Xenopus tropicalis: one gene and its partners. The protein of the gene in region 3 interacts with the protein of the main gene of each other region in a pairwise test. Links are inferred from orthologs where the notes say so. Each region holds a gene or a part of one and is shown on either strand. Other genes may lie near its edges.

Region 1 (10,376 bases), on a different chromosome or scaffold from region 3:
AAAATGCAAATATGTCTAGGACAGGTAAGAGAGACAATACGGAGCCTGGCTGTTTTTATTTCCTTAAATTGTGTTCAGCTGTCTTTTCTATAGGCCTAGGAAATAAAATCTCCCAGTTTGGCAAGCAAGATGTCCCTTTCTAGTTTGCAGCATAGAACCTATATAGCACATCGCACATATATATATGTAACTAGTCCTTGGATGAAAGTTGTAAAGGAGCCAGTTATGTGTTACGTAAGTCATTACAGGGCAAATGTACATGCTAGTGCTGGTAGTGTACAGATATAACATTTATGCAAGACTAAATATTTCCAGGTCGCTTGCTCATTTCTCTATTCATCCAAAGCTGTTCTCAACAGGTTCCATCTTAAAAAACCAGGAAGACACATTTGCAGCAGAGCTCCATCGGCTGAAGCAGCAGCCTCTCTTCAGTTTGGTGGATTTTGAATCTGTTCTTGACCGAATCAGAAGCACGGTAGCCGAGGTGAGCCTCTGCCAAATGTTAGGGTAACATCAGCACAGTAAATGTGTTCAGTAGCAGAATTACCCTGTAGAGATAGATCATTGCCATTGCCTGGAATTCAGGCCATCCTCTGGCTTGATGTACAGTAACTCTGTTAAACTGATGAAACACTTGTCTCCCTCATTTGCAGCCCAAGCATCCTTCATAGTTAGTTATTCTCTGCCCCCTGCCTTGTGAATGAGGGTTTGTATGAGTACTGTATCACTGGACCCCTTTGCAGCCTTTTTTTTTTTTTTGCTTTGTATAAGGAAGTTTCCCCACACAGAGAGGACCTAAACTACAATAGATTTAAGAGACTGGTGATTTATCATAGTAAATATTCACAATTATTTAAACATTTAATGTCCTGACTTATAAATAGGGAGTTACCTTCCGGTTATCTTAAGGTAAAACACTAAAATGTACTTTAAATGGGAGCTGCTAGGCAGTTAGTTCCTGAAGAAATGAGACCTAGTGCGTTTGTACCTGGATCTTATATTCCAAGGGCCACTGGGATAATGGGAGAGTGTTATATAATATGCTGGCACTGTATTAATGAAGAATATTACTATTAGTGTGACATGCAAGCTTAAAGTGAATGGCGGGGCGGTGCTGAGTCAGGCATTGGAGAGGAAATACAGGATAACTTTAGTGACAAGCTAAACTAAGAAATTTCATGTGTGTGACCTAGAAAGCAGATTATGGTATATTTAACAGACAAATTGTGTGTGGTTTATAAAATAGTGACCATTGATCATTTGCCAGAGACTCCATGATTTTGCCTCCAAACAGCTATATGATGTATTTTAAACAAGTTATATCTGCTTTTTGCTCATGAGCTTCAGTGAGTCGTGTGTCTCCTCAATAGAAGTACCAAACTTCTAAGGTAGAGTTACAGCGCCCCCATCTGTGATTATTTATATAGTCTAGGGATAGATGGAAACACATCTCCTCACTACTCCTTTCAGCTCAGAGCTCAATCTACAGACATCCTGAAGGTCCTTCTCAGACTCTCAGTGTCTGTTAGGAGGCAGTCATTGCCAAACCAATAAGAGCTCATACCCACAAGTGGATTTTTCCACATGTATCTTCTGCTGTGGCTAAGACGTGAAGTCAGTGGTGATACATATAATATAATAATTCTTAGTTCTTGTTGGGGGAAGGAGGTATTCCCTGTCAGAAGGACTGCTTACAGATTTAGCAGGATATACCACTAATAATATTTTATACAAAAATAAAGAATATGTATTGCTGTGTTCAGTGTACAAGGTACTGCAGAGATGGTCAGTACAGTTTTAAATGCATAAAATAGTAGCACAGGCAGATGTTAAATGCTGTCATTAAACCCTACTAAAAAATTACAAAAATGAAGATCTATTTTTAACCACAGTTTCTGGAGAAAACCACTCCTTCCTGCACAAGAACAGAGGTTTTTACTGGCTTTGATGTTAATGCAGAGACAGATATACCAGAACTATATGGCCTTAGCCTGCAATTGCATACCTTACAAAAACATCACACTGTGGTACTGGAATGGCTTAAGGAGCCACAATACATCCTTTTTTCTTTTACTTTTATATTGATAATCTTTGTTGAAGCTTTTTTTGAGAAATACTAATAAAGCGCAATTATTTTGCCTATACTTCTAGCACTTGTGGAAGCTTATGGTGGAGGAATCGGACCTACTGGGTCAGCTCAAGGTAAGGACTGACAATAACATTGACCTTTCCCTGCTCTACTCGCCTTCCATTGCCCTCTCATATAATGCTATATATGCAGCTGTGGGCTTGGTCAGTTTCAGAGCCACTGGAGCCTTGTACTTATTACTGTTTGAAGGCAAATGATAGCTCCTGGGCTCCCAGCTGCAGCTTGCACCCAATGCGCCCAATCCCCATCTTATTCTTCTGATATTCAAATCCCTAATACTTATGTTTTGTTTATAATCCCTGGCCATCAGGTAGCACATGTTTTAGCCATTCAGTCTCATATATACGCTTTTTCAGTGCCAAATATAATGTGCTAAGTTTACTGTTGGCAAGAACAGTTTGCAAATTTATCTTATTAGCCTTTCACTAACACTGAAATTTCTCTTTTCAGATTATTAAAGATTTCTATTTACTGGGGAGAGGAGAATTGTTTCAGGCCTTCATAGATATTGCCCAAAATATGCTGAAAACTCCACCTACTGCAGTAACTGAACATGGTGAGTGCTTCCACAGTATATTAGTGTCTTCAACCATAGCCAGAGATGCTGGGAGCTTGTTATTTAGCAAGAGCTATTTACTGCCTGGTATATAGTCACTTGTACTCAATACATTGGCTTAACCATAATTAAAAGCTTTTATTTATATTATTTTAAGCACACCTGCATTGGTACACATACTGTTCCGCAGCCAAGTTTTAGGCTAGGTGCGCCTGAGCTCCTGTTGCAAAAACTTCATATTGCCTTTTTAAAAATGTTTCAGTGGATCCCTTACCCACACAACCACCATTTTTATCTGACACTGGGAAGATTAGCCATGCTTCCTGATTAGACCAATGACAGTGCACATTGGGACACACAGCTAATCTGCTTAGCAACAAAAAAAGATTCTTACAAAAAAAGCAATGACAAATCTGTAATTTATGGGATACATTCTTATTAAAGAGTTTGATTGTACCAGATGATGTAATACAAGTATGGGATGCCTTATCCACAAACCCGTTATCCAGAAAGCTCCAAATTATGAATAGGCCATATCCCACAGAGTACATTTTAAGCAAATAATTCTAATTTTTATAAACGATCTCCTCTTTTTTTCACAGTACAGTACCTTGTACCTGAGGGTAACTATGGTGCATGAATCCATATTTTTATTATTATAGAATAATTTTTAGCAGACTTAAGGTATGGTGATGACAATTATGCAGAGATCTCTTATATGGAAAAGCCCAAGTTCCAAGCACTGCCTATACGTGGATTATTAGCAGCACGTATTGATCTTGCCTTGAACGCATTACTTGCCCTTTCTTTCCAACAGATATAAATGTAGCCTTCCAGTTATCTGCACATAAAGTTTTACTTGATGATGACAATCTCCTGCCGCTGCTAAATCTGACAATCGATTACCATGGAAAAGAACATAAAGGTAGGGCTGTCTCTGAACTCTGCATTTACCTGATATAGTTTTCATAAATCATTGAAAATCAGTTGGGATTTGACAAAATAATCTGTTAACATACTTCGAAATGTACCATGGCCTGAAAACAGTGTGCCAAGCCATAGAAACATTAAGGCCCTGTAAGCCATGGTGACTGAAGTTGCTGCTGCTGCTGCTGCTGCTGCTTACAGAGAACAGTTTTACCCGAGGTTTGTGCTAAGATCATTTCTCTTCCCTCTAGATATGTCCCAGCCCCGGGAAGGTCCATCTCGTGACACATCTCCCAGAGAACCTCCAATATCTGGATGGGCTGCACTTGGACTCTCCTATAAAGTGCAATGGCCCTTGCATATTCTCTTTACACCGGCAGTGCTGGAGAAGTGAGTAGAGCTGCATCTAATTGTCATTTGCACTGGTGCATATTTATATAACTTATGTATTAGATATCGTGTGTTTATTGAAACTGCTGAGTGTAAACATTATACAGGTATGGGACCTGTTATCCGCAATGCTCAGGTCCGGATAAGGTTCGGGCTCGGGTTTTTTGGATAAGGGGTCTTTCCGTAATTTGGATCTCCATACCTTAAGTCTACTGAAAAACTATTCAAACATTAAATAAACCCAATAGGAGTGTTTTGCCTCCAATAAGGATTAATTATATCTTAGTGGGGATTAAATACAAGGTACAGTTTTATTATTACAGAGAAAAAGAAAACATTTTAAAGAAATATTTGCTTATAATGGAGTCTATGGGAAATGGCCTTTCCGTAATTCGGAACTTTCTGGATAACGGGTTTCCAGATAACCAATCCCCATACCTGTACCCTCTGTTAGGTACAATGTGGTCTTCAAGTATTTGCTGAGTGTGCGCCGTGTGCAGTCAGAACTTCAGCACTGCTGGGCTCTTCAGATGCAGAGAAAACATTTGGAGTCTAATAAAACCGATGCTATCAAGTGGCGGTTACGTAACCACATGGCGTTTCTGGTTGATAATCTCCAGTATTACCTGCAGGTGAGGATGCGCCACATTGCTCACATATGCTTGTGCTATGAGCTTTTTCATTTTCAGCTAATGTACTGCATATATATTTATATGCAATGTTATTTCTATACTTTTCTACTTCGGAGGCTGCTGTACTTGCTGAGGCAGTAGCCTGGGAACATGGCAGCTAGGTCCCATCTGTATTCTCTTGCCATACACTCCTTCAGTCAAAACTGTGACCTAGGAAATCTATGGATCTGCACTATGTGATTGTTGCTTTAAGTGATAAGAATGATGAGACAGCTGCTTTCATTGTTGGATAAAGCCTCAGCACCAGTGACACCAGTGACATTTTCTGAGGCTTTTTGCTCCGAGTTTTCAGAATCTGTCAAAATGTTTTTTGCATAATGAAAGGAAATGTAGTTCTAAGCAAGTGTCTGACACACATTAATGTTCAGGGGTTTAGAAGGTATTTGTAAATGTAAGATCAGTTGAAAACAACAGCTTGTTCTCTGGTTCTGGTGAAACAATGCAGATTTCAGCTCTGCACCAGGTGTGTTATTCATCTGACTTCTGCTACATTGTTTCAAAAGTCAGAATCAGTTGTTTGTACATTGTCTCTTCGCCCCTTGCCCAGAAGTGTGCATCACTGATAAATGCATATGGCATTGCCATGTTTGTATGTTCATTTCTTAGGTGGATGTTTTGGAGTCTCAGTTCTCTCAACTCTTGCAACAAATTAACTCAACGCGGGATTTTGAGAGCATTCGCCTGGCGCATGACCACTTCCTAAGTAATCTGTTGGCACAGTCTTTCATTTTGCTCAAACCAGTAAGTGTACAAATGATGCAGGAAGGTACTTACTGCAGGGCTACAGTGAGCACATTTACTAAATCAGAAAGCTGTCATTTATTGCCGATATAAATCTCTTGCCCTTCCTTCCCCCCAGGTTTTCCACTGTTTAAATGAAATCTTAGATTTGTGTCACAGTTTTTGTTCATTAGTCAGCCAAAACCTGGGCCCCCTGGATGAACGCGGAGCTGGGCAGCTAGATATTCTTGTGAAGGTAGGTATGGCCTTTATACAGGTATGGCATCTATTATCCAGAATGCTTGGGACCTGTGGTTTTCCAGATAAGGGATATTTCTGTATTTTGGATCATAATGGCTACTGCCACACCAGGCTAATTCTCACCCTGTGCAGGCCCAAGCGCAAGCACAAGGAGCGGATTTTGGCCCAAAATTCGCAAGTATCCATTGTGGAGATAAAACTCGCTCCATAAACCTAAACCTGCCCCCAGGCTGAGGCAGTGGCTCCAGGTGCTGTCACAAGGGTAGGCCGAGGCAAGCATAGAGCGGGGCAGTAGCCAATGGCTACTAAAGATGCCACCAACATACATTGATGTAGCTGTGTTATCAGTACAACTACAGTTTCCTTTGATTTTATCTTTGTTTAGAAATTAAAAAAGGATTGTTTGTTTGAATAGGATACTCTAGGAAATGGCACTGAATGTATGTATGTATGTATAACTTTATTTATAAAGCGCCACAAGGGTACGCAGCGCTGTACAGTCTTACAGAATACAAAATTACACACAGGGAGGACAAGTGTTATAATAAATAAATACAATAAATACATATACGTGTATATATATATATATATATATATATATATATATATATATATATATAAGTGCCATGTGGTATGAGACACAGTAGGAAGGAGGTCCCTACCCCATAGAGCTTACAATCTAAGTGGTTGGGTAACATACAGGCACAAACTGGAAGGTATTTAAGAGTTTTGTGGATAATAAATTCCATAATTGTGCATTCACCTTGTTTCTATAAGGATAAAGGAGCCCTGGTTTGGATTTATTTCTTCTTTGTATCTGTTTACAGGGATTTAGTTGTCAGTCATCACTTCTATTCAGAATTCTCTCCAGTGTGAGGAATCATCAGATCAACCCAGACCTGGCCCAGCTCCTGCTCAGATTAGACTACAATAAATATTATACCCAAGCAGGAGGCACACTTGGAAGGTACGAATTTTGCATGTAGATAATTGCAAGACATTGACCCAATGCAAAGGAGCTTTGTCCCATATAATTTTAAGTTGTTGAGACAATGTTCCTTGATAAGTTAGAAACATACAAGAAATGTCCTTTGGCTAATCAGATCTTTTGGCAAATATCATTTGCTGTGATGAGTATGACTGTATATGTGCTCATTTCTTATGCAGACACACACCTTTAGGTATGGGCATGCACCTCTCATTAACACATCTTTCATTTGGACCATATATTTATAGAGGGATATGCCAAGGTGTATGGGATCCTGATGGAATTAAATATAGTGGCAAGGATGTCCATTACTGTACCTTCATGTTATGTTCTGAACAATTAGCTCAAAGTTATTTTTAATTGCTATAAGCAGTATTTTCAGCCCCCCTCTGCACTGCTGGCTCTGACTCTTGAACCAGCGGAAGCAGTCAGCTGTCCTCTAGCTGAGCTTCTATACAGGTCAGTTAATCAGCTTGCTGCTTTAGTAGCATAGGGTAGGGAAGACAATTCTGCTATCAATAGCAATTACATTTACTTTAAAATCTGACATTTTTTAATGAATTTATTGGAAAGTTACTCAGAATTCTATACAGTACAGTACTGTTCAGTATTGCACACTGGGGGCAGATTCCTAATGATCTATTGCTGCCACCTTGTGTTAGATTAAGAAAATGCAGGTACTGTCTGGGCAGGAATCATGCTTTTCTTTTGTATTTAAGCTTTGCAGGTGCATTGCCTTTCTTATTAGACTAATGTGGGTGGGTGCATGTTGTATGCAGGAATCAGTCATTAATGAAAAACAGTTTGCTTCTGTGAAGGTCTAAAACAATAGGCAATCCCTTTAAATTGATTTTTGTATTACATACATACAATCTAAAGGGATTGCCTGTTTAAGCTTTTACAGATGTAAATGGTTGTTGGTGGTTTTTGTATAACTACTCAGCATATTACCCCATCTCAGAAGAGGAATGTATTTTCCCCCTACAGTTTTGGCTTATGAAGATAACATTACAAGGCCAGCAACAGTGATCTTTAATCCCAGCACTCTGATCCAGTGAAGACAGACACCAAGATTTCGCAGTATTTGCTTTATTTCAGTACAACACAGGTGGAGCAAATTCTCTCATATTTACAGTGGTGAGGGATGATATAAACATGCACAACACAAGTGGGTGGAAATGGCCTGAAAAGAACATTCACAGCTTATTCATTGGCCCTTCCCCATTATATTGCACTTAATGTTTTGGGAGTTTTTTTCCTTCTTTAAACTAGAATGTGTGTCAGTGGATGTCCAACCTGCAGACCTTGTAACCACAGGAATTGCAAATATTCTGTATCACCATTCCAAGAGTATATGAGTTGAACCCATGTATAGATACATTGACGTGTTTTAATAGTATAAAAATAAGTGAACATTTTTTTACTCAAAAATGGGAATTTGGAGTTCAAGATCACAAACCAAATCTGGGATTTTGTTCACCCCTTATAGTTTAACTTCTCCTTTAATGCCCATGAAAGGGGCAGTATTTTTTTTTTTTTTTTTTTTTTAAACAAATGAAAAAACTGTAAAAAAAATAATTGGGAATAAATTCTTATCATTTCCTTGTATGCAATAAAAGCCTCTTCTTCCCTAACTGTTGCTCCTCCTCTATTTTATTCTGGGATTCAGCTGTCATATCTGTGCACAAGAGGGTTACTGGTGATGGCTTTCTGTGTGGTTGCAACTCCTGGCACTCGCCTGAGTAGCGCTCACAACCAGGCTTAGCAGAAATAAAGTAGTGAAACACATGGGCTTTTCTCTGCTGGCAGAACTCAAATTTGGGGCCCCCAATCACCATTTGTGTACACACAGGACTGTAATCCCCCAGTCATTGCGCACATGGAGTAGATTTTGACCAGAATCACACAAGTATGCATTTTCTGTCCAAATGCCATTGCATGTAACAGGCAGATCAGAGTTCTGCGCATGCACAAATGGAGATGGGGGAAGGGTCAGATAAGTTTTCTCCTCTGTTCCCCTTACATGGACAGGCAAAGGATTGTGCACAAGACAGCTGATTCCCAGGACACCCCATTCCTTCATGCTGCAGCCAGATGGGACAGCCCATACAGAAACAAAGGAAGTGAGCATGGGTGAGGGAGAATAGACTAACGCACAGAAACTTTAAAGGAATAAGGAAAATCATGCCACAATCATTTAGGGTTCATATAGAAAATGCCAAATACTGTTCATTGTAAAAGGATCACTCGGAATTCATGATCAGTAGGGCAAATGTCTTAGGTGCAGTTGTATTCACAAATATAATCCACTGTATAAAGTAGCAGCCTGCCCACACAGGAATATATTGCAGCTAAAAATGAACTGGTCTTTCCTGTATGTTCATGTAGCGTAAAAAAAGTAGTCCTGGAATGACAGGGCGACACTGCCCACTTGCCCAATCAGTAGAGACTGACAAATAAGCGCATTCCCTTATAGAGGGTGACAAAGCATAACATTTGTAAGCTTATTTATTCATTTTTGATTTTGTGAATTCCAGTTTATTTTTCTAAATTAAATAAACTCACATATCAAATGCTCACTATTTGAGTTTACAAATTTGAGTTTGAAAATATGGCTTGACTTTGCCTAGGAACTCCCATTAACTTCTATAGAAACTTGCAAGCTTTTAGTCTTGAATGGCAAATATTTACATTCAAGTTTTTTGCACTTAATAAATACCAGACATTCAAGTTTTTGAACCAAGTTTTTTTTAGTTGATAACTCTCCCCCCTTGAAGTATGTGGGTTAACCCCAACCTGGTAGTGAGGGGTAAACCCACATACCCAGATTTTCCCAATATATGTTTTACTAAAACTTAAATTTATGGATGATCTGTCCCTTTAAACATCTACCAAGAAGCAAACTGGATTATCCTGACATACCATCTGCAGACCAATGGGAATAGAGCTGGATAAAGGGGATGTACAGCCAATTTTATTTGTTACCTGCATTGACAGAAATGACTATAGTTTAGAAGCCTTTGAAGACCAGTAACTGGCAATATAATTGAGTGAAAACCCTTCATGAACATTCAAGTGCAAGATGGGTTGGCTATGGCACATAAGAGTTATGGCTGAAAAGCCCCCAGTAAGTGGCGCTGTCTCATTCAGCTTTTCAGGGGGTTGGAAAGTGATCCCTCAGTACCTGTGAAACAAACTTCTTTCCACATCCATATAAAATCATCAAAGGAGAAGGAAAGGCATTTTAGCAATTTATTGCCAACAGATTAGTTACAATAGTGCAAGCTAGGACGCTATATTTATTATGCAGAAAGCTTTACCATACCTGAGTTAACAGCCATAGAAGCTTCTTCTGTTTGTTTAAGATAGCAGCTGCCATTTTAGCTTGGTCTCAGTAGCTTCTGTGCTGCAGCTGGGTTGCTGGTAGCTCGAATGACACAGCACAGTTTGGAGGGGGAGCGAGAGACGAGATGGGAGGGGAAGGAGAAAGAGGGAGAAAACTGAGCAGGCTCATTTCTAAGAGCTGCAAATCTGGCACAGAAGATCATGTATACAGAACAAAGAAAGAAATTGTGTTTCTTTTCACCGAGGACTCAAAGCATACTTGGTTTTTACCTTTGCTTCTCCTTTAACACACAAAAAATGCAACTGGAGATGGACAAAAGTACCATAAAACAAACATTTAGTGTTTAT
Region 2 (10,946 bases), on a different chromosome or scaffold from region 3:
CAATCTGGAAGCTGAAAAGATTAAGGTAAATAATGAAACACTATTAAAAAAAGACAAACTAAAAAAATTGCTAAGAAAACAACATTAGTTGGATTTATCAGAGAACCAGAGGGGCTTGTATAAATTCTGCCACAATTTTTCTCATATGGTAAATGTTTTATATACTGCATGTGTAACAGTTTCAAGGGGCTTGGAAATTTAATTTCACAAAATAACACTGACCTGCTTGTTTCTCCCAGGCAAAGGAGACACTAGTTGGAAAACTGCCACTCTTCCAGATACAGTGCCCACAGCAACCAGGTCATCAAAACAGCTGAGAAGCTTCACCACAGATATAGATTCCGTCTTGCCCTGGCAATACAAACATTTTTGCTAACAATAATATTGTTTGCTGCTAAGGGACCATGACATTGAGTTAATTTAAACAAAATTACCCTAAAGTAGTGTACTACCAGCTGTTTCTAGGAACTTATGAACTACACAAGGCAACAAAATAAATATCTAGAGATTAATTTATTAAAATGGCAGTAAAAACAACACAAGGAATATAAAGCAGATATAAATAAAAAAAACTAGTAGAATACATTTTCAGTACAAGACTTATTTCATAATGATAAGCAAAAGTGTTCATCTGACGTGCTGCATATCGATGAAGCAGTACCGACACATTACCTCCAAGCTGTATTTTTTCATCTGGCTTGTGTGTCTGCAGTACAGATACAGCATTCCAATGCTGCTGCCCACGGCAATGAAATCACTGTTGGCATCAAGGGCAGTTAGGTAAACCAGGATAGAACGGAATCCTTTCTGCACCTTTGCAGGAATAGCATTCAGAATGGAATACAATGGGCAGAACTCTTTGAAAGTCCCAACTCGTTGTGCAGCCATTTTTATCTGGTAAGTAACTTCCACCTCCAACCCTCACATTGCTGCCAAGGTAGAACTGAAATATGAGCAAGATATAAAAAAAAAAAAAGATTAAACCACTACAGATCCCAGCTAATTCATAGGAAGACAAAACAAAAACATCTTAAGCTGTATCTAATACTTCAGAAACATTATTTCAGTAAATAGAAGTGTCACACTGAATGTGACACAAACATTCAGTAGATCTGTAAGGTTGTAGGCTCTATGGGGCAGGAATATCCTTCGTCTTATCTTTACATTAAGCCAACTTGAATGTAAAGGTGGCCATATATACTGTGCGAAGTTGGACGAAGTCGCCAAACAAGCGAACCATCTCTCAATATGCCCATTGGGCCAAATGATCAAATTAAAATGGCAGGTATATGGGTGGTCGGATCAAGGACCACACCAACGAGCTCAATTTTAGGCCAGATACTGGTCGGATAGGCCCATCAGGGGTGCCCATACAAATCGGTCTGAAGGACACAAATCGGCTGCTGAAATGTGCCTGAGTATGGCCACCTTAAGTTGTCTTTGTAACTATTTTATTGACCTTGTTTGTTCTGTTAATATTTAGATCCAATTCTCTGACGAAAAAATGCAAACCAAATAAAACACTTACTTACAAAGGGCCTAAAGTTGACCTTAAATTGAATGATATAGCCATGAACAGAATTACCAAACCATTTAAACAGTAGTAGATCTGGGCAGCTGATGGCTTCCCCTGAAGTACAAAAAAGATCAATGGACAACCTACAACCTACATCCTGCAAGTCAAAAATGTGAAAAGAGCAATCTCACTATTGGTTATTCACGTGTGACCAAAAAGCACATGATCCTGTTTTATGTGTGACCATACAGCACAAAATCTTGTTCAGCTAGCATGTGGTCTGTATAACCCTTCCAAATAAAGGATCTGCGACTCTACAGATGTGTCTTTAGTTAGAAAAAGATAATAGCACAGGGACTTTTAGGGCTCTGGCACACGGGGAGATTAGTCACCCGCGACAAATCTCCCTTGTCACGGGCGACTAATCTCCTCGAACTACCATCCCACCGGCGAAAATGTAAGTCGCCGGTGGGATGGCAAATCGCCTGCGCAGCGTGTGCTATCCCACCGGCGAGCCCTTAAGCAGTGTGCTGCCCTCCAAATTAAAATGCATTTCCCTACAAGCACTCCTGTTTCATTCTGGAGAGTGAGAAATGTGTGTGCTGTGCTACGGTGCACTGTATTGTCGCTGAGGGATATCAAAAGAATTGGTAAAGTCAGCATTTCAGAGCTCGGAGACATGCTACGTGGCATTCATCACAATGAGAAGCAGCTGCCAACACAGAATGTGTTCTGTATAGGACTGCTGTGAGCAAGTGGAAAGAATAACATACACTGACACAATTATCAGGAAATACACTTAGTGCAACTGATCAGTTGTGTACTTGTTCAGCACAAAAGTGAATCCACCAGTCTATAACCATCATCAACTTTTCTGGACCGTATACAAATCTCTATTTAGAGGACTAAACCCCTACAAATAAGAGGTAGCTCAATCCCTGCTCTAAAGCAATAAAAGGAAATCAATTCCCTTGCCAGTACCACTTTTTCTGCACTTGTTGGACAATGTCCTGGGTGCTAGCTCAGTCCCAGCTACAAAGGAGTCATTCAAAAGAAGCGTTCACTAAATCAGATTTTAATCTAAAGACTTTTTTGCATATTACAAGAAAATGGGATTTTCAGTTCCTTTCCAGGTTGCTTCTGCAACATTGTTTTAGGAACTAGAAGTACAGGTATGGGACCTTATCCGGAAACCCATTATCCAGAAAGCTCCGAATTACGGAACGGCTGTCTCCCATAGACTCCATTTTAATCAAATATTTGCACATCACTTTCGTACAACTGTTGTATGGCAATTATTATTGTCAGAACATCCTCTGATTTGTTATTTTTAGGACTCCCAAAATTTCAAGCTGAATGTTAGTTTTAAATCGTTGTATTAAAACATACGATCGACATGCGAATGTTCATCGAAAAGAAGACTAAAATTTTAACTTGTATGGCCAACTTTACTGCTGGCAGCTTTTATATGTTTTTATCATTACAGGAAATTGTTCTTTATTTATAAAGCACCAATATATTCTGCAGTGCTGTGCTTTTGTATTGCCTTATAGAACAGTTTAAATTCCCTAACCAGCTGATAAGACAGCACAGAAAATATACTATAATAATGATTTAAACACTGGTGGAACATTTCATGAGGGAGGCAGCATGATTGTATAGGTTATTACCCCTATGCAGGTGAAAATTCTCAAAATAACCCTTTGGTGCAACATGCACACTAAATAAACTGCAGGAAACAAGTGGAAAGAAACATTCCTTTGGCTTGAAAATAAATCATACCTTAGTTACAAAATAGGCAGCTCTAGGACTGCTACTACAGCCAGCCTATTCATTTTGGAACAGGTGCCACTTCTTCAGACGATAGGGGTGAAGCGCTGTAAGCAATATAGAAGAGGTTATTACTTAACTAAGATGTTTTACACAATTGCAACATGCAAACACAAACATTTATCATGAAGAATTAAATCTTTTTTTAATAATTAAATTAATACATAATGCTTTAAGGTCTAACTATGTGTTTAAATAAGAGCAAAAACCTAAGTAGAAATCTGAAGACAAAAGTAACGCTCTAGTGCCCGAGGGTCATATAGCAAGGCTTGTTGTTCGTGGAAGAATATCCAGAACAGAGGATTTTTTTGTGAAAGATCTACAGATAGTGCACCTGTAAGGCGGATGCAGCCCACTGGCCACCAGATGGACAGCCCTGCCTAAACCTAATGTTTAATCACAGTCATAAGTCATATAATGACTGCCTTTCTTCTGGTAGAACTTTGTAACACTAGGTTTTCTTATTGGAAGCTACTATTACTTTTAGAAAGTCAGCAACTGGCTCAAGAGAACCGTCTTCCTGAACAGCCTAAGCAATAAACCAATACCTTTTAATACGTCATTGCCAAAAGTAGACTGCTAGTACTAACCCCAGATATGTGGGGTTTTGCCCCTTGAAAGAGGGCAAGCCTACAGTAACTGAAACTCTGTGCAATTAAGTGATATAGCTGCCTAACAACAAATTAAAAGGCATTGTAATGTATTATTATCATGTGTTTATAAAGTGCCAACATATTCTAAAGCACTGCACAAGGAATGGGTGTATATATTAAACAAATAGATTTTTCAACAAAATCAACCAATACAAGAGGTAAAAAGGGCCCTGTTCAGTGTTGCCTTTTCTACTGCTTGAAAGAAGCCCACAACATGCTACCTTACAGCTTGATAACTAAAAATATAATTTGTGTATATAAAGTCTTTAAAGCATAAAAGACAGGCTAGCACCTAATTTCCTTATGGAACATTAAGGAACCACATTTGTCAAATATCCTTAGGGACAGCTGTGATTGTAAAGATGTTAAAAATTCTCTTGATGAGATGTATCAAAAGATGATAGATAGATAGATAGATAGATAGATAGATAGATAGATAGATACTCTTACAAGAAGAGAAGTATGAATGAAATCACCCAGATGTACATTACGCAGCTTTCTGGAAAAAGTAAGGATGCTTCTTAAAGATAAAAAGGACAAAATATACCATCAAAACAAAATATGTACACTAAATGCAGATAAAAGTGTTCAGTAACATTGGAGCGTGCTAATCAAGATCAGTGTGTGTCATGTGCATAAATAAATATATATACAAAACATGTCTAGTCTAGGGCCATCCAGCGCTAATGACAGTGCAGGAGGGCAGCAGATGGCACATGTTATGTACTTTATGGTTAGATCTAAAGGCAGGGAGTGTGTGATGAAAGCTGCTAGATTCTTTTTGCTATGAGTGCATATATTTGCTTAATAACAGTAGATGATACACACATTAAGCACAGTGCTGATGGCACAGCAGATGAGCAACAGCTGGCAAGCCTCAGCTCAGTAGCACTAAGAGAAGCTATGCCAAATATGTACAATATAGTGAATAATAAACGTTAAGCAATGCTGTTTTATATAAGCCTTCTCCTGCCCCCTCTAAAGTATTTGGGGGCTTCTTCATCCACACTCACCTGTTTCTCGAGTGTTAGTCACGGCTTTGAAAACCCTTTCGCATCCAGGAACCTGACGCAGCTAAAACATACTCCCCACTCTCTATAATCACAACACTGTACAGACACCACTTAGGTACCGCCCACATTAGCATGAATCGGTCCTTCCGTTCTAGTCCGGAAAGCGGAAATTGTTGTGTGCGTTCCACTGCGTTCCACTGCGTTGCACATGGGAACCGAGAGCAAGGAGAGAGGGCATGCATAGTAGAGTGAGATAGAATGTAACAGATTACCGTGCTACTGAATGTATGCTGATACAATGGAAAGTAAGTTGCTTTGGAAGTTTGGTAAAACTGCAGACTTTTGCCAATTCAGGTTGCAGAGTGACTATTACGGGCGTGAGTGGAACATCGAATCTAGACGTTTTAAAAAAGGAAGGTTTCTTTCGGGGCAGGTATAGCTGAAGGGTGACTGCCAAATAGCACCCACGTTTGTATAATATAAGTGGTTGTAATAGTAATGGGCTACTGTGGGTGACTTTTTGTAGAATTTTGAATTTAGAATGTAATATAAATAAGCCATTGTCCATTTGCTATGATTTTTAAGGGCATTGTCCCTTACCTATGCCTTACTGTGTCCAATGATGTCTTCTGAACTGGTCCACTAGGGAAGAGGGGATATCTGGAGGGCCTGACTTTTGTTTACCCTATATCAGCGTTTTTCAACCACTGTTCGAGATGTTGCCTGGTGTGCCGTAGGCAGGGCACCAATGTACTAGGGGGGCACTGCTCTTGGCACCAATGTACTAGGGGGGCACTGCTCTTGGCACCAATGTACTAGGGGGCACTGCTGCTGGGCACCAATGTACTAGGGGGGCACTGCTCTTGGCACCAATGTACTAGGGGGGCACTGCTGCTGGGCACCAATGTACTAGGGGGGCACTGCTCTTGGCACCAATGTACTAGGGGGGCACTGCTCTTGGCACCAATGTACTAGGGGGCACTGCTGCTGGGCACCAATGTACTAGGGGGGCACTGCTCTTGGCACCAATGTACTAGGGGGGCACTGCTGCTGGGCACCAATGTACTAGGGGGGCACTGCTCTTGGCACCAATGTACTAGGGGGGCACTGCTGCTGGGCACCAATGTACTAGGGGGGCACTGCTGCTGGGCACAGAGTTAAATTTTTTAACATTTTCTAATGGTGGTGTGCCTCGTGATTTTTTTCATGAAACAAGTGTGCCTTTGCCCAAAAAAGGTTGAAAAACACTGCCCTATATCATTAATACTTACAGACATCTATATTGTGGGGTCTGAGGATTTAATACTTAGTTCATAGCTTTCTAAAGAATTCTGAAATCCTCACTACCAGTGTGTATAAATAAACTTAGCAGGGCCAGTCATTACCCATCTGCTGGACCATAATGCTGCTTTGTGGATATGCAGAAAATTTACACACTGAAGGCTTCCCAGGTTTGTATTAACGTCACTTCCAGTTTTATCCACAACCTGATCCACTACACAGCAAAACAAAGATGCAGGTCTGGGCAGTTAAAATGTGCGTCTAATTGGACAGGATTGTACTACAGAGACCTTATCCGCACACCCTAGCGCTCCAAAATTATATGCCCGGTGCACACTGCTGGAGGGATCGGCACCCTCCAAAACCAGTACAACCACAAAAAAAGCAAATGGCACTCAGGGCTACAAACAAGGGAAAACCCTTAAAAAGTTTATTGCGGAGGTGCACCTCCGCAATAAACTTTTTAAGGGTTTTCCCTTGTTTGTAGCCCTGAGTGCCATTTGCTTTTTTTGTGGTTCTAATTGGACAGGGCCATAGAGGGCCATATCAAATGTATCAGTCCCAGTGATAGCTTGATCAGTGCATGAAATTAAAAATTATAATGTATTTTTGATTTGCCGCAATTCAAACAAGAGACGCAATACAAAAATCTGAATTTGCTCAAACCTATTCATTCAAATTTTGAGACAGACTGTGGTTGTGCCCATAGTTCAACTTTATTAGGGATTTAGTTTGCCTGAATTTTTCAGGCTGTTAGGATAAGGCAGTAAAACGATATTAGAAACCTATTACCTGTGAGAATATTCTGAAATTATTCAGTCACATTCACAATTAGTTCTAAAACAGCAAAGGGATTCTTTAGGTTAGATATGGTGTGCCTTTTGCTTTGGATTTCTGTACCACCTTAACACAGTGAAAGTTTTTGCCTTCTAGAATGCTTCCAGTTCTTCCTGTTTTGATTATATATATCACATGCACTTTACTGCTATCAGTTACTTGAGCTTAGGGTCTCAATTACAATATACAGTAAATACATTTACTTGATGAGACACGTTTGTAATTCATTCAAATTCACATCAGAGTTGTCCAACAACATGCAATCTTGTGAGAGGACAGTCAACACCAGTGCCAGATAGAAACCCTTAATGCAACCTAATTAAAATCTTTGTGTGCAATGATGCCCAAATAGACATTGTACAGTGCCAACCAACAATAAAATTAAAATATTCAATAGAGATATTATCATAATCCAGTATGGACGGTAGAGGATAATACTCGCCAAACTGGAGAGCCCCAATGTGAAATAAATATAGTTACATATTTTACAAAAAGCAATGATATTCAGTCTGTTCATTGAGGCCTTTAGGTGATACCTTATTCAGTCTGTATGTCCATCTGGCTTTGTGTTACAGAATTATTCTTTCTCTGTCATCATTCCACTTAGGTCTTGGAACATGTTCTAATATTTGAACTCTCAACTGAGATGAATTATGATTTTTTTTCTTTAAAGTGTCTAATGTGTCAAATAATATCCTTAATTTTATAATAATATTGACAATAGGTTTGGACACATGCTATATTATCTTTTACTTCTATCTTGATTTTGAAGCAATGATCCTCTGTCCAAATCCAATAATTTATTTTCTGCTTTCTATAGTATATTTCTTGGGTAGCCCCTGTCAATAAATATTTGTTTAATATCATTAATTGTTTCTGGTAACACTTCATGATTACTAATTATCCATTTAACCCTAGCCATTTGACTGAATGGAATAGAACGTACCTGAGCTTTTGGATGAAAACTCCTGGCTTGGAGAGAACTATTGGTCTCCAGTGTTTTTTGGTATAAGTCAGTTTGAATACTGGTTTCTATTTTCCGTCTCTTTACATCCAAAAACTCCATCTCTGTAGAGGAGGTATATTTGAATATATAATATATATATATATATATACAGGGTTGGATTAACAGCACAGGTGTGCTGTTAATCCAACCCTGTATATCTACACTTCCTGTACGGGCACCCAGGTATGATCTCTTTCTTATGGTGTGCAGCTTTCCAGCAACCTGCATCTATGTATATGTATGTATATATATATATATATATATATATGTATGTATATGTATGGCAGCTATCCAGGTAGTCTACAAAACTGTTCCTGTGAGCCAACACAGAGCATAAGACAATTGACTATGTAGCGCCACCACCAGTGTATAAATTCAGTGAAGGCACGTTGTACATAGAAGTGTTGATCTTCAAAGTAGTGATAGAAAAAATTGCTACAGGTTGTAGGATAGAATCAACTCCTGCCGTACCTTTGGTAAAATATATACACTGCTCAAAAAAATAAAGGGAACACTTAAACAACACAGTGTAACTCCAAGTCAATCACACTTCTGTGAAATCAAACTGTCCACTTAGGTAGCAACACTGATTGACAATCAATTTCACATGCTGTTGTGCAAATGGAATAGACAACAGGTGGAAATTATAGGCAATTAGTAAGACATCCCCAATAAAGGAGTGGTTCTGCAGTTGGTGACCAAAGATCACTTCTCAGTTCCTATGCTTTCTGGCTGATGTTTTGGTAACTTTTGAATGCTGGTGGTGCTTTTACTCTAGTGGTAGGATGAGACGGAGTCTACAACCCACACAAATGGCTCAGGTAGTGCAGCTCATCCAGGATGGCACATCAATGTGAGCTATGGCAAGGTTTGCTGTGTCAGTCAGCGTAGTGTCCAGAGCATGGAGGCGCTACCAGGAGACAGGCCAGTACATCAGTAGACGTGGAGGAGGCTGTAGGAGGGCAACAACCCAGCAGCAGGACTGCTACCTCCACCTTTGTGCAAGGAGGAACAGGAGGAGCACTGCCAGAGCCCTGCAAAATGACCTCCAGCGGGCCACAAATGTGCATGTGTCTGCTCAAACGGTCAGAAGCAGACTCCATGAGGGTGGAATGAGGGCCCGACGTCCACAGGTGGGGTTGTGCTTACAGCCCAACACCATGCAGGACGTTTGACATTTGCCAGAGAACACCAAGATTGGCAAATTCGCCACTGGCGCCCTTGTGCTCTTCACAGATGAAAGCAGGTTCACACTGAGCACATGTGACAGACGTGACAGTCTGGAGATGCTGTGGAGAACGTTCTGCTGCCTGCAACATCCTCCAGCATGACCGGTTTGGCAGTGGGTCAGTAATGGTGTGGGGTGGCATTTCTTTGGGGGCCCCACAGCCCTCCATGTGCTCGCCAGAGGTAGCCTGACTGCCATTAGGTACTGAGATGAGATCCTCAGACCCCTTGTGAGACCATATGCTGGTGCGGTTGGCCCTGGGTTCCTTCTAATGCAAGACAATGCTAGACCTCATATGGCTGGAGTGTGGCAGCAGTTCCTGCAAGACGAAGGGATTGATGCTATGGACTGGCCCAGCCCTTCCCCAGACCTGAATCCAATTGAGCACATCTGGGACATCATGTCTCGCTCCATCCACCAACACCACGTTGCACCACAGACTGTCCAGGAGTTGGTGGATGCTTTAGTCCAGGTCTGGGAGGAGATCCCTCAGGAGACCATCCGCCACCTAAGAAGCATGCCCAGGCATTGTAGGAAGGTCATTCAGGCACGTGGAGGCCACACACACTACTGAGCCTCATTTTGACTTGTTTTAAGGACATTACATCAAAGTTGGATCAGCCTGTAGTGTTTTTTTCCACTTTAATTTTGAGTGTAACTCCAAATCCATTGATGATTTCCATTGATAATTTGTGATTTTGTTGTCAGCACATTCAACTATGTAAAAAACAAAGTATTTAATAAGAATATTTCATTCATTCAGATCTAGGATGTGTTGTGTTCCCTTTATTTTTTTTGAGCAGTGTATATTACAGGTGTCACAGGGTACTCGTTAATCACCTGTCATTTGTACTTTACTCGAGGTACATAAAGACCTTGTATGTCTGTCGGGTGCATGCGGAAACATTTGAACATGGATTAACACAAACCTTTTTAAATCAATTAATGGTACATTCCCATGTAGAAACTGTGCTCAAAGTAATGGCATGATTAAAGCACATGGTGTGATGCATCCAAGTACAGGCAAGGCCATCCAAATCTCGGCCTACTACTCTTTGTTGTGTACTGTCTCAAATTCCCATGTGGCCTTGGCTATGTTGGCAAAACTATGCAGTGTGCCAAGGAAAGGACAGCAAAATACAAGACATTACATTGGATAAAAACAGCTCAGTGGCTAGACAGTTTAAAGAAAAAAATCACAACTCATCTCAGTTGAGGGATGGTAACAGAGAAAGAATACTTTTTTAGCAGATGGATATACAGACTGAATATCATGGTTTTTATAAAATATGTAACTAGAGGTGTTGTAGAAATACCTATCCACATTGGGGCTCTCCAGTTTATCCTCTGTCGTACCTTTTGAAATCGAAGTGAGGTGATCTCTTATTTTTAGAAACATGATATATATGAAATGTTTTCTTTTTTATGTAATTAGTTAGGCACATATGCTGTGCAGTTCCTTAAAAAGAATTTTTCCTATGTAAAAATTTAACACAAATTAAAAAATATACAGGTATAGGATCCGTTATCCGGAAACCCGTTATCCAGAAAGGCCATCTCCCATAGACTCCATTATAAGCAA
Region 3 (10,426 bases):
TGCCCCATATCTTCCAATGTATGGTGCACCTTCAAATGAGTAAGTTGCGGCTTTTCTGTCAATTTGGCCTACAGGATGATCAGATTGATAGCTTATGGGCTCGGCCTGTGTATAGGCTGCTATAAGAAGGGAAGTAACACACTAAATTGTCTTCCTTCCCTTTAGGGCAATATTAATAGAATAAATCCTGCTTATTATGTAAAAGGCTATTCAATTTTTAGGTGAATAACTGCCATGTACTCAAGCTGCCTGTTCTATGTGATCTTGCTTTTCCCTAGCTCTGCCCCGCCTCCTGCGCGTTCCAAGCTGGATGAGCTCCTTGGTAGAGGGACTGCAGCCAAACTTCTGGAAAGACCACCCACTGGGGAGCGAAAAGAATTTAAACTTGATCCTAAATACCAGAAACAGCAAGGTGAGTGTAGGGTGTCAAAACTTCCTAAAACTTTTTTAAAGTTAGTTCTAAGTTACAGTTCAGAAGGGCCACAGAAAGTAATGACTAGAGTCAAAGTGCAAACTGATAACCGGGTCTCCTTCCTTCGCTAGAGAACCAGAACACACCAGACGATGCGGATATTAACTTTGGTTCGTACCAACCTACTGTCAACAGTCCTGAGGGGCGACCGTCTCGCAGGCCATCTGTCAGGTATCACGCTAGTTCAGTTATTTCTTTTCCTAGTCAGCTGTGGCTTGGAAAGGACAGGGGTTTGTTTATCAAGAGGGCTTGTAATTCCTAATTATATTTCCTAATTAAAAAAAAAAGGCAAAAATTAGGTTCAGCACAAGGTCTATTCATTCACTGCTACTAAATAAGGGGGTGTTCTACCCCTTTAATGTCTCCAGCATGTGAGTGTCCAAGTGGACTGCACCACTTTTTTTTAATATCATCCTTTCAATCAAACAGATTCTCTGCAGATGGCAGCGACAATTTCAAATCGGAAGGAAGGTCTCGCTCCAGCACCCCAGCAACTAGGAGTCCAGCCAGAGGAGAGAGGGGTGGGGCGGACTGGCTGGGCTTGAAAGACGATGACATTGATGTTCCTGATTTTACACCTTCATTACCTGTCAGGGACCCACCCCGGTCTGCAGGTGTTACACCAAGTTCAGCCGGACGTCCCACCTCTGGAAATAAAATTGCGGACAAGCCTATTAACCAAACGAGAAGTGGGCTCCAGGAAGCAGCCTCGGTAGCACAGGAGGATGATGGGTGGCTGACCTCTGCCCTTTCACAAAAAAAGGCACAAAAACAGGAAATGGAGGAAAAAAGCAAAAGCCAAGCCAGACAGGAAGATGTTACAGGGAGCAGGTAAGAGCAGTGGTGGCTTATGGACGATTATTGCATGTATAGGAAACATTCTGCTGCTAGAGAGAGAGACAGCTGTTTATAGGCAGATACGTGTGGGACAACAAGGGGTTATGGAGAAGGAGCAGAAAGGCTTGGGCCGATAAATTATATGATAATGTGATATAAATGGAAGCAAGTATTTATGGTCTATAAAATTAGCCATACATGCCCAGATCTGGCCAGGCACTTTGGCAAATTTCAACCTTCTGGGCATGTATGACCAGTCCCGGAGGCATTTAGACTGATTATCCAACAATCCTTTTGGATCAAAGATGATCGGTCCTGATAAAAAGTCTATCAGCCAGACAGGAAAAAGAGAAGGGCTGTAATTCTACCGTTCCTCTTCATTTCTTGCTCTTCTGATCTTTCAGGTGGTCTGCTTGTACTAATGGAACAGTACAAAGGCAGCCATACACCCTAATACAGTATCTGTCTGTAGGTGGACTGGTCTGATATATTCCTGGTTGGCCCATCAATGGCCACCTCTAGGGCCATTCTTCCATGTGAATGTAATATTTTCCATGTGTATGTATCACATATTCATTGCACCTCTTCTTTCCAGCCCTGCAGTCTTCTCACAAACCAGCTCACAGGAGTCCGCTGTTAATAAAGGCACAAGAGAGACTGGTATGGTAGTTGCTGAGGTATCTGGGTAAGTATATATATATATATATATATATATAGTAGATAGCAGAGTGACGGCACTCACAGGATTTTATGCATCAAAAATAACAAAATAATAGTATTCAAATAGTGAGGTTTATTGATCCTACGTTTCGGTTCCCCACTGGAACCTTCGTCAGGCCTGCATGACGAGCATGTCACTTTACAGCAATAGGCTGAGACGCCCTTTAGCCACTAGCTGTCACTCACTGTAACAGTGCAGTAATACACAACCAAACATGGATCACGTTGTGTCATGACTCTTTACTAAAAAAGGTTAAACTTGTGGGGATTGGAAAACATTTTTACTGAATATGCTGACATGCTCTGACAGGTCCTGGTTTATGTCCTTACAGGTCTCCCAAAAAAGTCTCTACGTTTGTGGCTCCCAAACAAGAAGAAACCATTCAGACAGGTGATTATTTCCCAAACAACTCATTTTGTCCAGGATCAAAATTTTATAGCAGAACAGACAAATCTTTGGCCATCACCATAGCTGCTGAGAGTTGCTGTTCTGCATCAGTGGGTTTGTCTGACGTTGCAAATCCCTATTTTATTGTATTATTTATTCATTTCTGACATCATATTGGTTTCTCTTTATTACAGCAGTTACCGGCCCGTCTCAAGAGCACGGCACAGCCAGAACTTTGGTTAGTTATCATAAATGAAACTCTCCAGTCCTGCTCACGTCATTGTACGCTCAGCTGGGAATTGTATAGGGAAGGCTGTATCCTTCCTCCTCCATAAAGGAGTGTAAACTACAGAACGTACCTGTCCTACTCAGGCATCCCTGCTATCTGCACTGATACACATTATTCTCCTGCTCCTGTATTTCTTGGTTTGGGACTGAACCATTTAACTGTTTAGCTGAGGTAGTAGAGCCCAGTTAGACAACTTGCACACAGTGAGTTATTTACAGTTTGGGAATGTAATAATAGTACTGCTTTGGTATAAGAACTGCCTCGATGGGATAGAAATATTACTTCACTTGCAAAGGGACGTATTGCATGATAGCTTCTTAATCATAAATAGAATGAAACTGGTTTGTGCGAGGCAAAATAAGCAATGCAGTGTATCAGTATCAGTTTTAAAAAAACAACATTTATCCTGCCACATCAGTACTGTCTCTATGTTATATCTATGTTTTTGTTATTCCCCACAGCCCTATTGTACTTAATTTTAGCTGCTGTTTACACTCCCATTGCTTTCTCAGCAGCAGACGGTGGTCTCGCGGCCATTAGAGAGAAAAGCACGAGATGGGGATAGAGATCTTCACGGGGATCCCCTGCAGGCACAGAATCGAGTGATGGATCTAGAGGCACAGGTACTAGAGTAGGAGACTACAGAGATGAGTCGATTTCTTTATACCTCCATACATGGGATTGTCCCTAGAACTCACTGCATAATATTCCAGTGGTAAACCAAGCTAACCATATCTCCTTCAGGTCAGGAAGCTCCAGCTAGAGAGGGACCAACAGAACCTGCTGCTGGAGACCCTGCGAGAAAGACATCAGGAGGATATGGAGCTGATAGAGAATGCACATCGGTACCGCAACCCATTTAACTTACAAACCCAGTTGCCCGTTACCCAGATTCCATAAATATAGAAATAGATACTTATAAAGCTACAGTGTGTATGTAGGGATAAATAAATCCCAATATCCCATGTATATACACATTGGCACCCAGTGCCTAGTTCTTCCCTACGCAGAAGTAGGTTATATTTTATGTCACGCATTTAATTGCTTCCTACTCAGGAGCCGCCTGAAACTAGTGGAAGACTCTGCCCGTCAAAGAGAGGAGCGACTGCGCCTTGAGAACCAGGAGTTGTCCGCCCAGTACCTATCTCGGTGCCAGAGCACGGAAACCGAGAAAGCCGAACTGCTGGCGCAGTATCAGAAGAAACTGACTGAATTCCAGCAGGAGAAGGAGCTGGAACTGGAGAGAATTCGGGAACTGCAGAGGTGAGGTTGGAGTTGAGCTGCCTCCCAGTGCGCTCCCTGTCTCTTCCGGGCAGTCGTATACATGGTTATCTCTCCCTTTTGCAGGGTGTTTGTCCAGGAGATGTGCAGAGACCATGAGGAGCAGCTGCAGAGACTCAAGCGGCTAAAGGACCAAGAGATCGATGCAGTGACGAGTGCTTCCTCCCACACAAGGTATAACTATAACTCACCTGCTATAACAAACTGTTAGTAGTGCCATACCCATAACAGAGTTGGCAGGAGGTGGTAGTCTTCTTAGTGCTTTTGACTGCTTTCCTGCTTGTTTCTTTTCCTGGGAACTAATAACTTTCTGCTTTTCACCGACGCTTCCTACGACTCTGCGCCTCTTCAGATCCCTGAACACCGTTATTGAACAAATGGAGTCGTTCTCCCACAAGCTGAGTGACCTGTCCCACAGAGTAGAGAGCACTCAGCAGACAACTTCCCATGAGCTGGAGACAGGAGCACGCCAGAGAGAAGGGCAGCTCAGAGGTACGGGCACACTATGCTGAACAGCTGTATGTGCTGATATGGTGCTTCCCAAGGGAACACATGGTAGGGCATTGGTACATTTATATAGCACCTTATGAATGCCATCTTCATCCAGCACTGCAGGAGCAACTGAGCCGCCAGCAGAAAGACATGGAGCAAGAACGAAACAGTCTCCGTATGGTGATAACCAACATGGAGACACGGTTAATTGAGCAAAGCCGTCTCCTAGAACAGGTGAGAACGAACCAATGAACCCCACCTTTGAGTTTAAGCTGGAAGTTCCACTGAAGGAGAAACTAACGAGTATTATTGGCCCTTCTTGCAACAGGAACGATGGCGGGTCACCTCAGAACAAGCCAAGGTGGAGTCATTGCAGCGCTCACTGGAGGAGCAGAGGAGGGTCGTGACACAGCAAATGGCAATAGAAAGAGAGGAGCTGGAAAGGGCAAAGGTTAGTGGACTCCTGACCAGCCTGAAGGTTTGAACGATGAAGAACGTCCTGCCGAGAACTTTGTTCTTCCACTGCTCTTTGTTATCCCGTCAGAGCGGTCTGTTGAGAATACTATGGCTTACATGGGAAGACATGCATATATACAGAGTTATTTGATTGGCTTAGGTTGAAAGCCACACGTGGGCTTCATATTCCCAGCAGACTACATGGATTGATTTCATTCAGGACCTGTTTAAGACAAGTTTTGAGTGTGAGGGTGAAAATAAGATGCAGTTTACATGTCAACATTCTCTTTAAAGGAGAAAGAAAGGTAAAAACTCAGTAAGCTTTATCAGAAAGGTCTATGTAAATACAGCCATAAGCACTCACTGAAACGCTGCACTGAGTCCTCTGTCAAAAGATTTATTGTGTCTGTAATTCCTCTGCCAGAGACACGCAGCTTTCTGCTCCCTCCCCTCTCCTGCTCCCCCTTCCCTCAAAAATGCTAAGAACTCACTCCCCCCCTTAGGAATGTGGATCTGAGCCAATCAGCAGGAAGCTTCTTCATAGTCTTACTAACTGAGCATGTACACCGGTCCTGCTGTTGGTGCAGGAGTGAGGCATTATGGGAACTTTCTTTACACAGCTCAGCGCTTTTTCTTCCTGTTTGGCTTCAGATCATCTGAACGGGAGAAATATGGGGAGACTTAAGGGCACTATTGAGACAACTGAAGGTATGCCTGCAGCTTGAGATTAACTCTTTATTAGCCTTTCCTTCTCCTTTAAAGGAAAAGGAAAGGTAAAATCAAAAGCCTAACATTTTTGTACCCCCCAGTGATTGTACCTTTCCTTCTCCTTTAATACAATACTTGTGTAACAGGGCTCGCGGCTCCCTGCAGGCTGTGCCTTATGGCCTTTGACTAGTGCCCTGTTTCTTAACCTTGAGCCCCCCCGAAGCTGCTGGACTTCATCCAGCCAGGACTAGTAAGTTGCTACTCAGGTTAAATCCCCCTGATAAAATGCTTTTTATCAACCAGTATTGGACTCATTTGCTGACAAAGTCCAGCCGACTGTATAAACTAATCAGCCATCACTTGGCATATATATAATATAGCCTTTCCATTAACTGTACACCGTAAACTCCATGTACCCTATAAATGCCAGCAAGATAGGGTGTTTGCGGGATTATTATAAATGATTTAGGAGATGTATGGTATAGCCACAGTCTGTTTATATATCCCTGCCAGTGAGACACACGCACGGCAGTTGGAGGCATAACTACATTGTCTGTTGCCAGGCTACCGTAATATATCTTTATAGGAGTCCAAGTTGGAATTTACTATCGACAAGTTTTTCCTTCACTTGCAGAGCGCTCTCCTGGAGGAACAGCAGTCTGTCATGTCTCGGTGCACAGAAGAGCGTCGAAAGCTGGCGGCAGAATGGTCCGATTTTCATACCCAGCAAAAACTGAGCAAGGAGCGAGCAGAGAAAGAAGCAAACAGGGTCATTGTGGCAGAAACTCAGAGGGAGGGCGCCATCATAAATCTGGCCAAGGTACATGTGATCTCAGTGATCCCCAATCAGTGGCTCTGGGGCAACATGTTGCTCCCCAACCCCTTGGATGTTGCTCTCAGTGCCCCCAAACCAGGGACTAATTTTTGAATTTCTGACTTGGGGGCAAGTTTTGGTTGAATAAAAATAAGATTTATTACCAAATAAAGGTCCCCATACACGCGGCTGATAGTAGCTGCCGATATGGGTCCCATAGACATATTCGGCAGCTAATCGGCCTGTGTCTAGGCACTACCATCGGGCCTGCCCGACCGATATCTGGCCTGAAATCGGGCAGATCTCGATCGGGCAGGTTAAAAAATCTAGTCGGATCGGGGACCGCATCGGCTCATTGATGTGGTCCCTGGACTAACTTTTCCTATACCCGTCATTATAATTCGATCAAATTAGCCTGGATTCTCCCGATATCGCCCACCCATAGGTGGGGATATCAGGAGAAGATCCGCTCGCTTGGCGACATCTCCAAGCGAGTGGATATGAAGGTGTATGGGAACCTTAGAGCGCCTGTAAGCTGATAGGGTGCATAGAGGCTGCCTAATAGCCAATCACAGCCCTTATTTGGCTCCTCCATGAACTTTTATGGTGCTTGTGTTGTTCCCCAAGTCTTTTTACATTTGACTGTGGCTCACGAGTAAGAAAGGTTGGGGGGCCTTGCTGTAACGGGACAGACTCCATGTTAGTTCCGCCAAGACCTGTTTAGAGTGATATGACCTCTATTCTTACCAGTGCCTGAAAAGTATTCTAATATCTACAACTGCCCCTTTGCTCTGAACTCTTGCTCTCCACACCCAAGCTTCTCTCTCTGCTCTTTTGCCCTCCCCCCATGTTTCCTTTCATATAAACCTCTCTACTGCTATGCTTCCCCCAGGAGCAGGCAGAGTTAAAGATCAAGGCTAGTGAGCTGCTCAACAAAGAGGAGCAGCTGTTTTTGGCCAGAGAGGCCATGGAAAAGGAAAGACAAGACCTCCGCCTGGAAAAGGAAAGGGTTAATGCATCTGCTCTGCGGGTGCGACAGCGTGCGGAGGAAATAGAGAGCATGAGCAAGGTAATATATTCCCACTCACATGTTTCCATTCTAGTCCTTCCATTACCCGGTTTTCACTAACCAAATGCTAATGCAAGGGTAACACTGACATCTTGTGGTAGATTGGTGCATAGCAGTTTAAAGAACAAGACTTTATTTTCCCAGTTGGCATCACAACGTTATGAGGAGGGAGAGAAAGCTCTAGAAGAGGCATGCAAGATAGAATCCGAGCACCAGGGCCGTTTAAGGGCAATTCAGCAGAAACTGGAAATTCTGCGACAACAGGAGGAACATATACATCAGGTGAGGAGCCTCTGTGGCAAATCAGGTTCAGTTACAAGGGAGGGGAACATACAGCGACCCCAAGAACGTCTGGGTTTTTAATAAGTTGTCAGGGGCGTAACTTCCGCAAAGTAAATGCATTTTTAACCAGAACTACTCTGTTCCACAGGAACGTCTGAGTCTGGCACAGCAGAGACGCCAGTTAAACCAACTTCAGCAAGAGCTTCCCACTGCCAGTGTTCTATTCCCTGCCAGACCCCCAGAGCCCCCCCTGATGGCACAGAATGGGAAGTTCACTGCAAAAGGTACAGTATTTTCTGTGGCCATAGTAATTGGTGGCTTCTGTGCCAGCGAAGTCTGTATAATTATTGTATATATATATAATATAAACACAAACAATCACTTATCTTTAACATAACCTGCTGAGTGCAGTGCTAGTTACTACTACTGAGTGATACTCCCTGTATAACTCAGCCTTGTGCCTTTATATGGGCACAGAACCCCTCAGTGACTGCTAATATCCTTATCATTTACAGTAGGGGGTACATTATCCCTTATAATACATGAGTGATACTCAGAGTTCCCTGTATAACTCAGCCTGCAGCCTTGTGCCTTTATATGGGCACAGAGCCCCTCAGTGACTGCTAATATCCTTATCATTTACAGTAGGGGGTACATTATCCCTTATAATACATGAGTGATACTCAGAGTTCCCTGTATAACTCAGCCAGCAGCCTGTGCCTTTATATGGGGGGCACAGAACCCCCTCAGTGACTGCTAATATCCTTATCATTTACAGTAGGGGGTACATTATCCCTTATAATACATGAGTGATACTCAGAGTTCCCTGTATAACTCAGCCTGCAGCCTTGTGCCTTTATATGGGCACAGAACCCCTCAGTGACTGCTAATATCCTTATCATTTACAGTAGGGGGTACATTTTCCCTTATAATACATGAGTGATACTCAGAGTTCCCTGTATAACTCAGCCTGCAGCCTTGTGCCTTTATATGGGCACAGAACCCCTCAGTGACTGCTAATATCCTTATCATTTACAGTAGGGGGTACATTATCCCTTATAATACACGAGTGATACTCAGAGTTCCCTGTATAACTCAGCCTGCAGCCTTGTGCCTTTATATGGGGGGCACAGAACCCCTCAGTGACTGCTAATATCCTTATCATTTACAGTAGGGGGTACATTATCCCTTATAATACATGAGTGATACTCAGAGTTCCCTGTATAACTCAGCCTGCAGCCTTGTGCCTTTATATGGGCACAGAACCCCTCAGTGACTGCTAATATCCTTATCATTTACAGTAGGGGGTACATTATCCCTTATAATACATGAGTGATACTCAGAGTTCCCTATATAACTCAGCCTGCAGCCTTGATATGGAACTCCTTTATAATATCCTTATACCTTACTAAAGGGGGAATAGTATTTCCTGTATATCTGTATTGTGCTGTACCTGTGCTTTATTAATCATTATTTCCTTCCAGCTATTGGGATCCCAGCAGCGCTGCAGGAAACCAGCAAACCACAAGTAACAGAGTTCCATGCCAAATTGGCTCTGCTCAAGATGTCTGCCCAGCAGGTAAGAATAGTGAAATGGCAGATATGTTGCACTGCTATACCTCATCATTAGTTCTCATTAATTATATTAAAGCAGGTGTAGATCTGCATTAAAGGCATAACCCAGAGCAGTGGGTTAGACATTACCTTTTCTTGTCTAACTGATTAAACAAATGCCTTCTTGTTGCCCAATGGGCACTGTGGGCTAGTGATAGCAATGGATGGAGCAGAGACTCCCTCTAGTGGATAAAGCTTGTATTAAGAAATTCATCACTTATTTTGTATGGCACAACTTGGCGTTAAGGTACTCATAGATATCTATTCTTGTACAAAAAAGGCTCCCACAGAGGGGACAGGTTGTCGTGTAGGGATCCTGGGGTACTGAAGCACAAGTTGCCCTGTGGGGGTGCATTCAGTCATACAGGGATCCTGGGGTACTGAAGCACAAGTTGCCCTGTGGGGGTGCATTCAGTCATACAGGGATCCTGGAGTACTGAAGCACAAGTTGCCCTGTGGGGGTGCATTCAGTCATACAGGGATCCTGGGGTACTGAAGCACAAGTTGCCCTGTGGGGGTGCATTCAGTCATACAGGGATCCTGGGGTACTGAAGCACAAGTTGCCCAGTGGGGGTGCATTCAGTCATACAGGGATCCTGGGGTACTGAAGCACAAGTTGCCCTGTGGGGGTGCATTCAGTCATACAGGGTTCCTGGGGTACTGAAGCACAAGTTGCCCAGTGGGGGTGCATTCAGTCATACAGGGTTCCTGGGGTACTGAAGCACAAGTTGCCCTGTGGGGGTGCATTCAGTCATACAGGGTTCCTGGGGTACTGAAGCACAAGTTGCCCTGTGGGGGTGCATTCAGTCATACAGGGATCCTGGGGTACTGAAGCACAAGTTGCCCTGTGGGGGTGCATTCAGTCATACAGGGTTCCTGGGGTACTGAAGCACAAGTTGCCCTGTGGGGGTGCATTCAGTCATACAGGGTTCCTGGGGTACTGAAGCACAAGTTGCCCTGTGGGGGTGCATTCAGTCATACAGGGTTCCTGGAGTACTGAAGCA

The links.
Region 1: the proteins of fbf1 (region 3) and tubgcp4 interact in a two-hybrid assay, tested with the Homo sapiens proteins (2 studies listed by BioGRID and IntAct). The two-hybrid records come from large-scale screens. The link is inferred for Xenopus tropicalis from reciprocal best matches to the Homo sapiens genes FBF1 and TUBGCP4.
Region 2: the proteins of fbf1 (region 3) and cinp interact in binary tests that used the Homo sapiens proteins (3 or more experiments, as listed by UniProt). The two-hybrid records come from large-scale screens. The link is inferred for Xenopus tropicalis from reciprocal best matches to the Homo sapiens genes FBF1 and CINP.

The regions. Positions count from the first base shown.
Region 1 is NC_030679.2:107,048,654-107,059,029, forward strand, and holds the end of tubgcp4 (gamma-tubulin complex component 4), read left to right. Parts: coding exon 1-24; intron 25-359; coding exon 360-484; intron 485-2,151; coding exon 2,152-2,202; intron 2,203-2,599; coding exon 2,600-2,705; intron 2,706-3,522; coding exon 3,523-3,630; intron 3,631-3,883; coding exon 3,884-4,022; intron 4,023-4,476; coding exon 4,477-4,654; intron 4,655-5,320; coding exon 5,321-5,455; intron 5,456-5,573; coding exon 5,574-5,690; intron 5,691-6,522; coding exon 6,523-6,662; intron 6,663-7,670; coding exon 7,671-7,683; 3' UTR 7,684-8,317; downstream 8,318-10,376. UniProt on the Homo sapiens protein: Component of the gamma-tubulin ring complex (gTuRC) which mediates microtubule nucleation.
Region 2 is NC_030684.2:97,541,155-97,552,100, reverse strand, and holds the start of cinp (cyclin-dependent kinase 2-interacting protein), read left to right. Parts: upstream 1-5,191; 5' UTR 5,192-5,295; coding exon 5,296-5,317; intron 5,318-10,946. Other genes in the region: tecpr2 (tectonin beta-propeller repeat-containing protein 2), read right to left, coding at 223-351, 673-888. UniProt on the Homo sapiens protein: Component of the DNA replication complex, which interacts with two kinases, CDK2 and CDC7, thereby providing a functional and physical link between CDK2 and CDC7 during firing of the origins of replication.
Region 3 is NC_030686.2:44,885,392-44,895,817, reverse strand, and holds part of fbf1 (fas-binding factor 1), read left to right. Parts: intron 1-278; coding exon 279-412; intron 413-543; coding exon 544-643; intron 644-901; coding exon 902-1,303; intron 1,304-1,904; coding exon 1,905-1,994; intron 1,995-2,361; coding exon 2,362-2,420; intron 2,421-2,611; coding exon 2,612-2,655; intron 2,656-3,218; coding exon 3,219-3,329; intron 3,330-3,450; coding exon 3,451-3,551; intron 3,552-3,762; coding exon 3,763-3,969; intron 3,970-4,053; coding exon 4,054-4,161; intron 4,162-4,339; coding exon 4,340-4,479; intron 4,480-4,594; coding exon 4,595-4,713; intron 4,714-4,807; coding exon 4,808-4,930; intron 4,931-6,277; coding exon 6,278-6,463; intron 6,464-7,349; coding exon 7,350-7,526; intron 7,527-7,670; coding exon 7,671-7,808; intron 7,809-7,956; coding exon 7,957-8,092; intron 8,093-9,292; coding exon 9,293-9,387; intron 9,388-10,426. UniProt on the Homo sapiens protein: Keratin-binding protein required for epithelial cell polarization. Involved in apical junction complex (AJC) assembly via its interaction with PARD3. Required for ciliogenesis.